2 linked regions of the Caenorhabditis elegans genome follow. The protein of the gene in region 1 interacts with the protein of each later gene in a pairwise test. Each region holds a gene or a part of one and is shown in the gene's direction. Other genes may lie near its edges.

Evidence for each region.
Region 2: the proteins of Y39B6A.1 (region 1) and crb-1 interact in a two-hybrid assay, tested with the Caenorhabditis elegans proteins (one study listed by BioGRID).

Annotation. Positions count from the first base shown.
Region 1 is NC_003283.11:19,200,068-19,206,133, reverse strand, and holds Y39B6A.1 (Histidine-rich glycoprotein-like), read left to right. Parts: upstream 1-2,526; 5' UTR 2,527-2,536; coding exon 2,537-2,588; intron 2,589-2,750; coding exon 2,751-2,903; intron 2,904-2,949; coding exon 2,950-4,952; 3' UTR 4,953-5,121; downstream 5,122-6,066.
Region 2 is NC_003284.9:17,411,015-17,416,351, reverse strand, and holds the start of crb-1 (uncharacterized protein), read left to right. Parts: upstream 1-2,337; 5' UTR 2,338-2,502; coding exon 2,503-2,548; exon of another isoform or gene 2,549-2,660; intron 2,661-3,100; coding exon 3,101-3,386; intron 3,387-3,432; coding exon 3,433-3,532; intron 3,533-3,578; coding exon 3,579-3,729; intron 3,730-4,228; coding exon 4,229-4,371; intron 4,372-4,416; coding exon 4,417-4,512; intron 4,513-4,581; coding exon 4,582-5,023; intron 5,024-5,113; coding exon 5,114-5,253; intron 5,254-5,320; coding exon 5,321-5,337.

The DNA of each region.
Region 1 (6,066 bases):
TCCCGTTTTTCAATGGAAAAAATCAACAAAACTACTAGAAATCGGTTCTGCAGCCGATTTTCGAGCATTCGTCTTGATGTTTTGTGAAATTCAGAGCCTTCCGGCAAATTTCCAGTGAGAATTGCCAAAAATCTCCTTTTTAAAATGATATTCGCCGTGTTTCTCTCGAAAGAGTACAACTTTTGGCATAGAAATTGATTTTCCCGTGCTTTTCTGAACTTTCTACTGATTTTAAAAAAAAATCCCAGGAATTTGGGCAATTTTCCGTGAGAATTGTCTGAAAATCCCGTTCTAAACCGGAATTTTCAGTCGAAATCGCGTATTCAGCTCGACCAATCGGTGTAATTTGTGCAAACACCGTCACGCGCAAATGCAGACATTTTTGCACGCGGAATTCTCATTAAAATGCAATTCTCATTAATTTGTCAGCGAAAAGCAATAAAACCTCAACCACCAGATGCAGTTTTTGATTTATTCACGTCTTTTTCTTCTCGTTGCCACGATTCGGGTAACCGTTCCCGGAAACTTTGTCACGTGGGGCCACTCTATATTCTCGGAGCAATCGTAAAACTACATCAAAATTTGATAAGGAAGAGGAAAAACGAGTGGCAGCGGCAGAATGACCGATAATCAATTATGGAGAGAGAAAAACCTGCTGATGGCACATTTTTCGAATAGTTTTGCGGTTTTTGGTTTCGGAACGTGGGGCGGAAATTGCTCCCGAATGCTGAAAATGTACAGGAACTGGAAAAAAGTCAAGGATCTTAAAAATTAGGCTGCCTGTATGAATTCCACGACAGTATGCTGTGAAATGCTTGAAATTTCAAGTCAAAGGCCCAAAAAATATCAAAGTTTCAGGAAAATTGAGGAAACATCGATTTTCGATGTTTTTCCGGAAAAACTATCCAGATTTGAAGCTTTTTCTCCTAATTTTCCCGGTTTTTTTTGAGAAAAAGTCAAAAACTCGAATTTTGAAGCCAGAAGATTGTCAGGAAACGGAAATTTCTGACAAAATTGCTCAAACTCCTGAATTTTCCACCGGAAACCTTCAAAAAGTGTAGTTGGTACTTCAAAAACCAGTTCAATTGCAGCAAATTAAGAACATTATAGAGATAAGGAGTATTAATTGTTGGTGCAAATAATGAATTATAACCACCATTGCAAGATTGAATGATCACATGATATTTGGAAAACTAGAAAACTAGTATTTCGAATTTCCAACAAAAAAAAGGTGTTAAGAGCACCATTAAAAGTTTGCCATCATCTTTGGAAATGCCACAGGCTCATAAAATAGCAGTTTTGGGTGTGGCTCTTCAGAAAACACAGTTTGGAGTTTTTAGGGGCAGTTGGGAAAGGTCGGCGGGTGCTGAAAGCTCCGAAAGCCCAATCAGAGCTGCTGAATTTGGTTAAAATCTGGAAAACCAGGAATCTAACACCTTGAAGCAACCCAGTGCTGCTCAGAGCTCTTGAGGGCAGCTAAAGCCAGTTGGGAGCTTCTAGAGGCCCATAGAAGCTTATCGGACCAATAGGGAGCTGCTAGAAGCCGTGCTCGTCGGAGCTGCTAAAATCTGCTAGGAGCCACTGGGAACTCACAAAGGACTTGAGGCCTATTAGAATAGTACAGGGCTCAGTAGAAGCAAATTAAATCCTTTAGAAAGCTTGCTTGAACTCCTAGGTCAGGCTGGAAGCTTCTAGAGACATTTATGAGCTGTTGGAGGCAATTGGAAGATTTCAGCAGTCGGGCTTTTCGGAATCACTAAGAGCTCGTGAAGGCACTTTAGATCTGCTAGACGATCACAAGGCTTACTAAAAGCAAATTGAAGCCTTCAGAAAGCTTGCTGGGCGCCTAGGCCAGGCTTTGAACTCCTAGGTCAGGCTGGTAGCTTCTAGAAGTACTTGGAAGGGTCTAGGACTAGTTGGAAGCCGCTAGAAATGTCTATGATCTAACTGAAACAATTAGAAAATTTTAGCAATCAGGCTGCTCGGAGCCACTTGAAGCTTATTGGAAGCAGTTAAACGTTCCAGAAAAGGTCAGTGTCCAAAGGTCAGGCTCTTTTTCGGTATGCTAGAACCTACCGAGACCCGAAAAATCACAAAAACCTCCAACTTCTCACACAAAACCCTTCAGTGAACTACTATAATACAATCAGCTGAAAATTTGAAAATTTTGAAAATTAATCAAATGCTGATGCTCAACAGCTGTCAGACTTCATCACCTCTCCTATTACCTCCCCAAATATTACATCACTCTGACAATCATCGTCCCAAATTTTCACGTTTCTCCTTCTCCGGGTGTCTTATCTCGATCTCTCACTTCTCCAAACATCATCAAAACTTTTAATTGCCTCCCGTGTCAAAATGGGCGGAGTCAAACTTAAGGGAGGCGGAGCCTAAAAAAAGCTTATAAAATGGGGCGGAGGAGGACGGTGATTATCAAAATTTTCGGGGCTTTTTCTCGATTTTACTTCTAAAATCCCTCTTAACTTTGAATTTCGAGTAAAATTCTGAAAATTCTGAAAATTCCAGAACCTAAACAATGACGGTGCACCATCATCATCACACCCACCACGTGTCGCTTCACAAGATCAGTGAGTTTTCGGCGCTTCCTGCCAAAGATCATTCTTATCAGTGAAATTACCGAAAAAATTAGAAAATTTCGGAAATGTTTGCCAACACAACACAACTGACATGTTATCAGTTGTAGTTTCTTAGTATCACCTACGGTAGTCAAAGATCATGATAATTTTCAGAGAAGCTCTTCTCGAAGCACTCCTCGCACGGGCATAAGCTCACTCGGGATGAAGCTCGCTCGGCGCTCCACGATATTGAGCACCTGGCCAAGGAGCTCCACTTCCAGAAGGTCTTTGATCATCATGCTCATGATGGACACATCTCATTGAAAGGTTGGTCCGGAGCTTTGGAATCTCTTAATAAACAGGAATATTTCAGGATTCCTGAGCTTCATCTCCCCACACCACGGTCACCATACCCATCATGCTCACGGAGCCCATCCAGGCCACCACGAGGTCCACCACCACCATCACCATGTGAAGGCTCAGGACTCGAGCAGCTCCAGCTCCTCCTCCAGCAGCAGCTCGAGCTCCAGCTCCTCCAGCTCATCCTCATCCTCTTCCTCTTCGTCTGAATCCGAGGACGAGAAGCACCACCACAAGAAGCACGCCAAGAAGCATCTTAAGAAGCATCACAAGAAGGCCGAGTCTAGCTCTTCCAGCTCATCCAGCTCCTCGAGCTCCAGCTCAAGCTCCTCTTCCAGCTCCTCATCTGAGTCCGAAGACGAGAAGCATCACCATAAGAAGCATGCCAAGAAGCATCTGAAGAAGCATCACAAGAAGGCTGAGAGCTCTTCCAGCAGCTCATCGTCAAGCTCCTCTAGCTCCAGCTCCTCCAGCTCGTCTTCTTCGTCGTCGGAGTCCGAAGACGAGAAGCATCACCACAAGAAGCATGCCGTGAAGAAGCATCACAAGAAGGCCGAGTCTAGCTCGTCCAGCAGCTCGAGCTCGAGCTCCTCCAGCTCCTCTTCCTCATCCGAGGATGAGAAGCACCATCACAAGAAGCACGCCGCCAAGAAGCACGTGAAGCATCACAAGAAGGCCGCTTCCAGCTCCAGCTCTTCCAGCAGCTCCTCTTCCTCTTCCAGTTCTTCTTCATCGTCTTCTTCCTCGGAATCTGAAGACGAGAAGAAGAAGAAGAAGGTGCATCACAAGAAGAGCCACGGAAAGAAGCATCACAAGAAGGCCGCGAGCTCTTCTAGCTCTAGCTCTTCCTCCAGCTCCAGCTCCAGCTCCTCATCTTCCTCAGAATCTGAGGACGAGAAGAAGCACGCTCCAGCCCATCATGAGCACCACGAGCACAAGGATGGAGCTCATCACGAGCACAAGGAAGGAGAGCACCATGAGCACGCAGCTCATCACGACGAGCACGGAGTCCACCACAGACATCATGGAGAGCACCATGGGACCCACCACTCCCCAGCTCATCACGGGGAACATGGGACCCACCACGGACACCATGGAGAGCACCACCATGCTCCAGCTCATCATGGACACCACGAATCCCATGGACACGGACATCACTCCCCAGCCCACCACGGACATCATGGGGAGCACCACCATGCTCCAGCTCATCACGGACATCATGGAGAGCACCACCATGCTCCAGCACACCATGGACACCACGGGGAACATGGGACCCACCACGGACACCACGGATCCCATCACTCCCCAGCTCACCACGGACATCATGGGGAGCACCACCATGCTCCAGCACACCACGGACACCACGGGGAACATGGGACCCACCACGGACATCATGGAGAGCACCACCATGCTCCAGCACACCATGGACACCACGGGGAACATGGGACCCACCACGGACACCACGGATCCCATCACTCCCCAGCTCACCACGGACATCATGGGGAGCACCACCATGCTCCAGCTCATCACGGACACCACGGACACCACGGATCTCACGGAGTTCATCACGGACACCACGAATCCCATGGGCATGGTCACCACGCACCGGCTCACCACGGACACCATGGGGAGCATGGAGTTCATCACGGACATCATGGAGCAGGCTACGGAGCTCACCATGGACACCACGGAGCCCACCACCACCACGCCCCACACCATGAGCATCACGAACACCATGGAGATCATCACCACGGATCTCACGGAGTCCATCACGGACACCACGGAACCCACCACTCCCTAGCACATCACGGACATCACGGAGGTCATGGGACCCACCACGGAGCCCATCACTCCCCGGCTCACCACGGACACCACGGAGCCCACCACGAGCACGGAGCCCATCACGGAGCCCACCACGGACACCATGACGACAAGGAGAACCACCACCATCATGGACACCATTCGAAGCATTCAAAGAAGCAGCACACGAAGAAGTCACATAAGAAGAGCCACTAGACGGGCGGTCGATGAGCTTCTGCTCGCCACAATTGATGCGTCACTGCATTACATGTACTTTTTGGATAAATCCTGAACAGCCTTTTTTTTTTGTTTGTATCGATTTTTCTAGCGAATTTGTAATTTTTTGTACCAATTTTTCCGTGTCGAATAAATTAATTTCATTGTGTTTAGTGGAGAAAAACGAAGAAAAAAAACATGAAAAATTGCGATAGCAGCGCCCAAATCTTGTAGTTTGTAGTTTTAGCAGCGCCCAAACTCACTTTTTCTTCATTTTTCCAATTTTTTGCCGAAAAAACAGTCGAAAACTAGGTTTTTTATACGAAAAATCGCATAGCAGCGCCCAAAACTTGTAGTTTGTAGTCTTAGCAGCGCCCAAAATTGAATTAGCAGCGCCCAAAACTTGTAGTTTGTAGTTTAGCAGCGCCCAAAATTGAATTAGCAGCGCCCAAAATTGAATTAGCAGCGCCCAAAATCTTGTAGTTTGTAGTGTTAGCAGCGCCCAAAATCTTGTAGTTTGTAGTTTAGCAGCGCCCAAAATCTTGTAGTTTGTAGTCTAAGCAGCGCCCAAAACTTGTAGTTTGTAGTCTTAGCAGCGCCCAAAACTCGTAGTTTGTAGTCTAAGCAGCGCCCAAAATTGAATTAGCAGCGCCCAAAATCTTGTAGTTTGTAGTGTTAGCAGCGCCCAAAATCTTGTAGTTTGTAGTCTAAGCAGCGCCCAAAATTGAATAAGCAGCGCCTAAATCTTGTAGTTTGTAGTCTAAGCAGCGCCCAAAACTCGTAGTTTGTAGTCTAAGCAGCGCCCAAAATCATGTAGTTTGTAGTCTTAGCAGCGCCCAAAATCTTGTAGTTTGTAGTCTAAGCAGCGCCCAAAATTGAATAAGCAGCGCCTAAATCTTGTAGTTTGTAGTCTAAGCAGCGCCCAAAACTCGTAGTTTGTAGTCTTAGCAGCGCCCAAAATTGAATTAGCAGCGCCCAAAACTTGTAGTTTGTAGTCTTAGCAGCGCCCAAAATTGAATTAGCAGCGCCCAAAATCATGTAGTTTGTAGTCTTAGCAGCGCCCAAAATTGAATTAGCAGCGCCCAAAACTTGTAGTTTGTAGTCTTAGCAGCGC
Region 2 (5,337 bases), on another chromosome or scaffold:
TACGTACAACTGTTCTAAATTAATAAGTTATTTTTATAAGGTTTTGTGTTTGAAAACGTAAGGTACTTAGTGAAGTTTTATTAGTACAGGAAAAATAGTCAGAATTTTTTAATAAATTTTCTAGCTCGATCTACATAATTAGTATTCAAAACCTTGATTCGAAAATAATTGTCTCACTGTTAGTCAACAAATCATCACGGACTATTTGTCTTCAATTATCTTGTTCATATCCCTTCTTCTCGCCATAACCGGAAATGCCTCGAAACAAATACATGTGTCCCTTCACTCTTAATACACCCTATATTCCGGTCGTCCACGCACCTTTTTTTCCTCAGCAGTCCATCAAGTGTCCCTCCGTCCTTTTCTGTCATTTGCTGCACAATTCTATTCTTTCCAAAAACTCTTTTTGTAAGACCTGGGGTTATGTGTGCACTGTTATCAATACCATGCTCTTTTCCATGACCTTACGACCCCGCGCGCGCGCAATCGTTTTGTTTTGTCTATATGCGTGTTTTTTATTGACTGACTGACCACTACATATTTGCGGCATATTCAAAAAAAAGGTGTTTAGAGATAGACAATTAGGCGACGAGATGTATCATGCACACATACATTTTTATCTTCTCTAGCGTATTTTTGCGCCGTATTTTTTTTCTGATGCAAAGTCCCCAGATAATACCATAAGTAGAACGCGATCCGAGAAGCTAGCCACAGGGGTGATTTTTTTTCGTTGCTAATTTTTTTTTGCTTTTCAAAATTGTTGTTTTCCGTAAGTACAATTTTAGCATTTTTTTTAGGAACGACAAAAAATCGTCAGATCAATTTGTAATTTGAAATTTGAATCCAAATAATCTCTTGGTTTTAAAAATTTAGCATTTCAACAAATATCAACACAAAAACTAAGTTTAATTATTCAATGTTTATCAACTGAATTTTTATTAAATTGAAAAAAAAGTTGTTTTTAAAAGTTGTTTTTTAAAAATTTATTTCATCATGTTACCGTGAATTGAAAATTTGAACTTTTCAGTTATTTGAGAAGATTCCCTATTTTGAAAATGTTGGCAACATATTTTTGAGCGTAAAATGTTCACAATGAACTGTAATTTTTTGATTAATCAAAAATATATATCAGAATCAATTTTAAGGTTTGTGACCTCCAACATTTCCAAAAAACATAACTGATAGCATAACAAGTAAGTTCAAAAACTTTGCGTCTCTTGAGTATTATTGGGAGGTAGTTTGAAATTCCCCAACTATCTTTGAAACATTTGAGAATTTCACTTTTTAAAATTATGTAATTGATTCACTTGTTGGTATTTTTCCATGAAATTCCGACAGTTTGCCATTTCCAAATGCGCGGTCATTTGTCAACTGTGCTCCGCCTTGGCCTTCATTTCTACTCAATTTTCTCAGCAAAGTTTGTCCCGTCTAAACGGAACTACTAAACTTTTTTGCTTTTGCCGTTTTTATTTCGGAAATTTTTATTTGAATTTTCATCCAAATATTTTCTAAAAACGTATTTCGATATCGGTAACCCCAGCAAATCTCATTTTTCCGCATAACAGGACAAACACACTGTCCTTTTCGCTTCACTTTTTTGCTATCCCCTTCTTTTTTCCGTGTGCGTGCCGGGTGAAACTAGTCTCATCATTTGAAAATTGTCTGTATAATATCCGACCTACTACACATAAAATATATAGATGTTGGAGATGTTGACAGCCGGAAATTGTTTGGAACTAATTAGCTGCTGAGGGTTTTTTGCTGTAATTCAAGTGGACCCAGCACTTTTTGAGTATTTTGAATTTGTACTTACGCATAATTAAGCTTGTTCATTCTTATTTCTTTTAAATAAAAAAACTCCTGAAATCACAATAAAACAATATTGTCGCTTGTTATGGGATAAAACCCCATATTTCAGCTAATTTTATTAACACATACAAGTACATTAGGAACTAGATGATAATAAAAAAAAGTAGGAAATATTTTATCAGACGACAATTAAAAGTAAAATCAAAAGCATGAGCTGCCAAACTGAAACGAGCACAAAAAAAATGTCGAAATTGTACAAATACTCTCGAAAACCTTTTTTTTTAACTAAACGCTGAATTTCTATGTTTTCACTTTTTATAAACGTTTGAAAATTTTGTATATCTTCAATCACTCGGTCAACTGAAACTTTCCCTACTATTTCCAAATTACCGTCGAAATGCCACAGGGCAGCTAGCTGACCCCTGGCAACCACGAGATTCCCCCCCCCCCCCCCTTCATCTCTCTTGCCCGTGTTTCCTCTTCCGTTCTAATTACCTGCTTATTATCCGACAATACACCTGGCTCTCTAGGACCTTCTCTTTCTCTCTCGCGTCACTCCGGCAGCTAGCGTGTGCGGTACAGAAGAACAATCGTCAAGCGGCAAACTACCTTTTTTACCTCCAAACACAAAACAATTCGACTAGCTGCCGTCATTACTCCTATTTGGGATCTGCATTCAATGATCTACCACTCATGAAATATCAACATTTTCTCATATTTTGTACCCTGGTTACAAATGGTAAGTCTACTACTAAGATATGATGTCATTCGGTTTCACAGACTGATTGATCTGAGTGTGAAAAGTTTTGGTTTAGACTAGATGAGAGATAGAAATGTATAACACGAAGTTTAAGTGAACATCTCAAAAACTGAAAATCTAATTTAAATTCAAAATATGTTTGAGAAAGTTGATTTTGGGCTTTTAAGTGTTGAGCATTGTTGTATCTGAAAACTCTCAATTTTTGCAGCCCATCTCTTCTTTGATTTTGTAATCGTTTATATATTTTCAACTAAAATTGTAAACAAATAACTATTAACATATTTGTCGGTTAACAATTATTTCAGAAGCCCAGACCTTTTCAATAAAACACATGACTTCTTTCTCTGAAAATTAAATGAAGCTCGTATATTTCATACCAAAAAACAAAATAAATTTCTAAATTTTGTTTTCCAAAGATCAGTTCCAATCTAAAACTTGGACAAAACTACCAACTGACTTTTTGCAAAAAGTAATCCATCATTATCATTAAGACAGATGAATACCACAAGCTGTCACTAAAACTCTTTTCAGCACTATGTAACAGAGCGTGCAGTCGGAACACATGTCTTAACGGCGGAACTTGCACAGTGAACGATGAGACGCGAATGTTTCAGTGTGAATGTCCGAAGGGTTTCAGTGGGTTGCTATGTCAGGACAACTGCTCTTTGCACTGTCTCCACGGTAACTGCGTGAAAGGAACGTTTGGCGAAGAAACTTGCCAGTGCTCCGAAGGATGGATGGGCTCACTTTGTGATAATCTAGTTACTGATGATGACACTGCTCAAAAGTGCTCACCGCAATGTGGCGATGACGAAAGGTATACATGACCTTGTGCAAACCAAAAACATGTATGTTTTTTATAGATGCACAAAAGGAGCCGACGGATCATACATTTGCCAGAGCAACGAGCCGTCTTGCGCAACACACACTTGTCAGAATAACGGCACTTGTGTTGCCGAGAACGTGAGTGACTTGAGTCCAGAGTGATAAAAACCAATAGAATGTTCAGGGAAATGTAAAATGTGCCTGCCCACCTGGATTTGTTGGAGATCACTGTGAAACTGACGAGGACGAGTGCAAAGAAAATTTTTGTCAGAATGGAGCAGATTGTGAAAATTTGAAAGGAAGTTATGAATGCAAATGTTTAAAAGGATTTTCTGGTGAGTTTTGGTTTGAAAATTTGGATGGGAAGGATGAAATATAGTTTTCCAGTAGACATAATTGTGAAAAAAAAACCTGAAGTTTGAAAAACGTTTAGTTAGATTTTTTCAATAAGACTAGTGTGAATTTGATCAAAAATCATTTATAAGGTGCTAAATGACCAAATGTCATAAAAAATTTTCTAAACAATTCGGGGATTTTTTATCTCGAGTCAAAAATCGCATACATGTTTTTGCCACGTTTCGACAAATCTGAAGCATTGTCATGTTGATCCCTTTTGGCTCGAAATAAAATCATTTCTTCAGGTTGTTCAAAAAGTTTTATTATGATATTTGGACAAATACCCAGTTTTTTTGCAATACTTATAGTTTTCAACTTTCTTATTATTTTCTCAATTTTGTTAACGTTGCTGATTTGTTGAGAGTTTACATTCGAATAAATTATTTTATAAAAACAAAAGAAAACTAAGAAGAAACATGTTTTCACAATTTCTTCTAGGTAAATACTGTGAAATCCAAGACAAGAAACAATGCACTTCTGATTATTGTCACAACAATGGTCAATGCATTTCGACTGGCTCCGATCTCTCCTGCAAGTGCTCTCCCGGGTTTGATGGTGCATTCTGCGAGCTCAAAGCAGAGGTAACACCAATTTTCTCACTGTTAATTGCTTGTGTTTTTTCTCAGGTTAACGAGTGTATATGTGAAAACCCGGCTCATGTTTGTTCACTCGTAAACGGGACGTCAAGGACAACGCAATGCGAGTGTCCTTCGGGGTTTATGGTACGTTTGACGAATAATCTGGGCATGTTCGGATATGGGTCCCTCGCGCAATCTATCGTTTAATTGCAGGGTGCCGACTGTAAAGAGTTGCAAGCTCGTCCATGCGATCGTGAGCCGTGTCTTAATGGGGGTCACTGCGTCGACGACGGGCAGAATCTCTTCACCTGCTTTTGCCTTCCCTCTTTTACCGGCATCTATTGTGGAGAGCCTGTTGATTGTCTGGTTAATGGATCGGATTGTAAGAATGGGGGAAAGTGTGTGTTCGCGTTAGCCGCAACTACCTGCCAGTGTCCGGAAGGATTCAATGGGTCCAATTGTGAAATAAGTAATTCATATCGGTCACATCCAACATGCAGTGACATTCGATGTTTGAATGGTGGAAGCTGTAAACTCGACGCAGAAGGGGAACCGTTTTGTGTATGTGAAGAAGGGTTTGATGGACCGTTCTGTGAGCCAAAATCTGGATGCACAATTAATCCCTGTCAAAATGGAGGAACTTGCCAAGATGCAGGTAATAAGAAAAAGAATAGAGTTTTTTAGGGAGCTGTAAATTAATTTTTGTGCTGATACTGATACTCTTTAAAGTTTTACAATTTTTCAGATGGACAATACTTCTGTCATTGCACATCAGGCTTTGGTGGCGTCCACTGCGAAACGGTGGATGAGCCTTCAACCCCTATTCCCACATTAGGAACGTTTCCATCTTTTACAACTTCTGGAATCGACGGATTCTCTCAGAGTGTGAGTGTTTTAGTTTTTTATTCAAAATTCGTTCATAATAAATACTTGCAATATTAAAATTTTTCAGAAAATATCTTGCGAAGA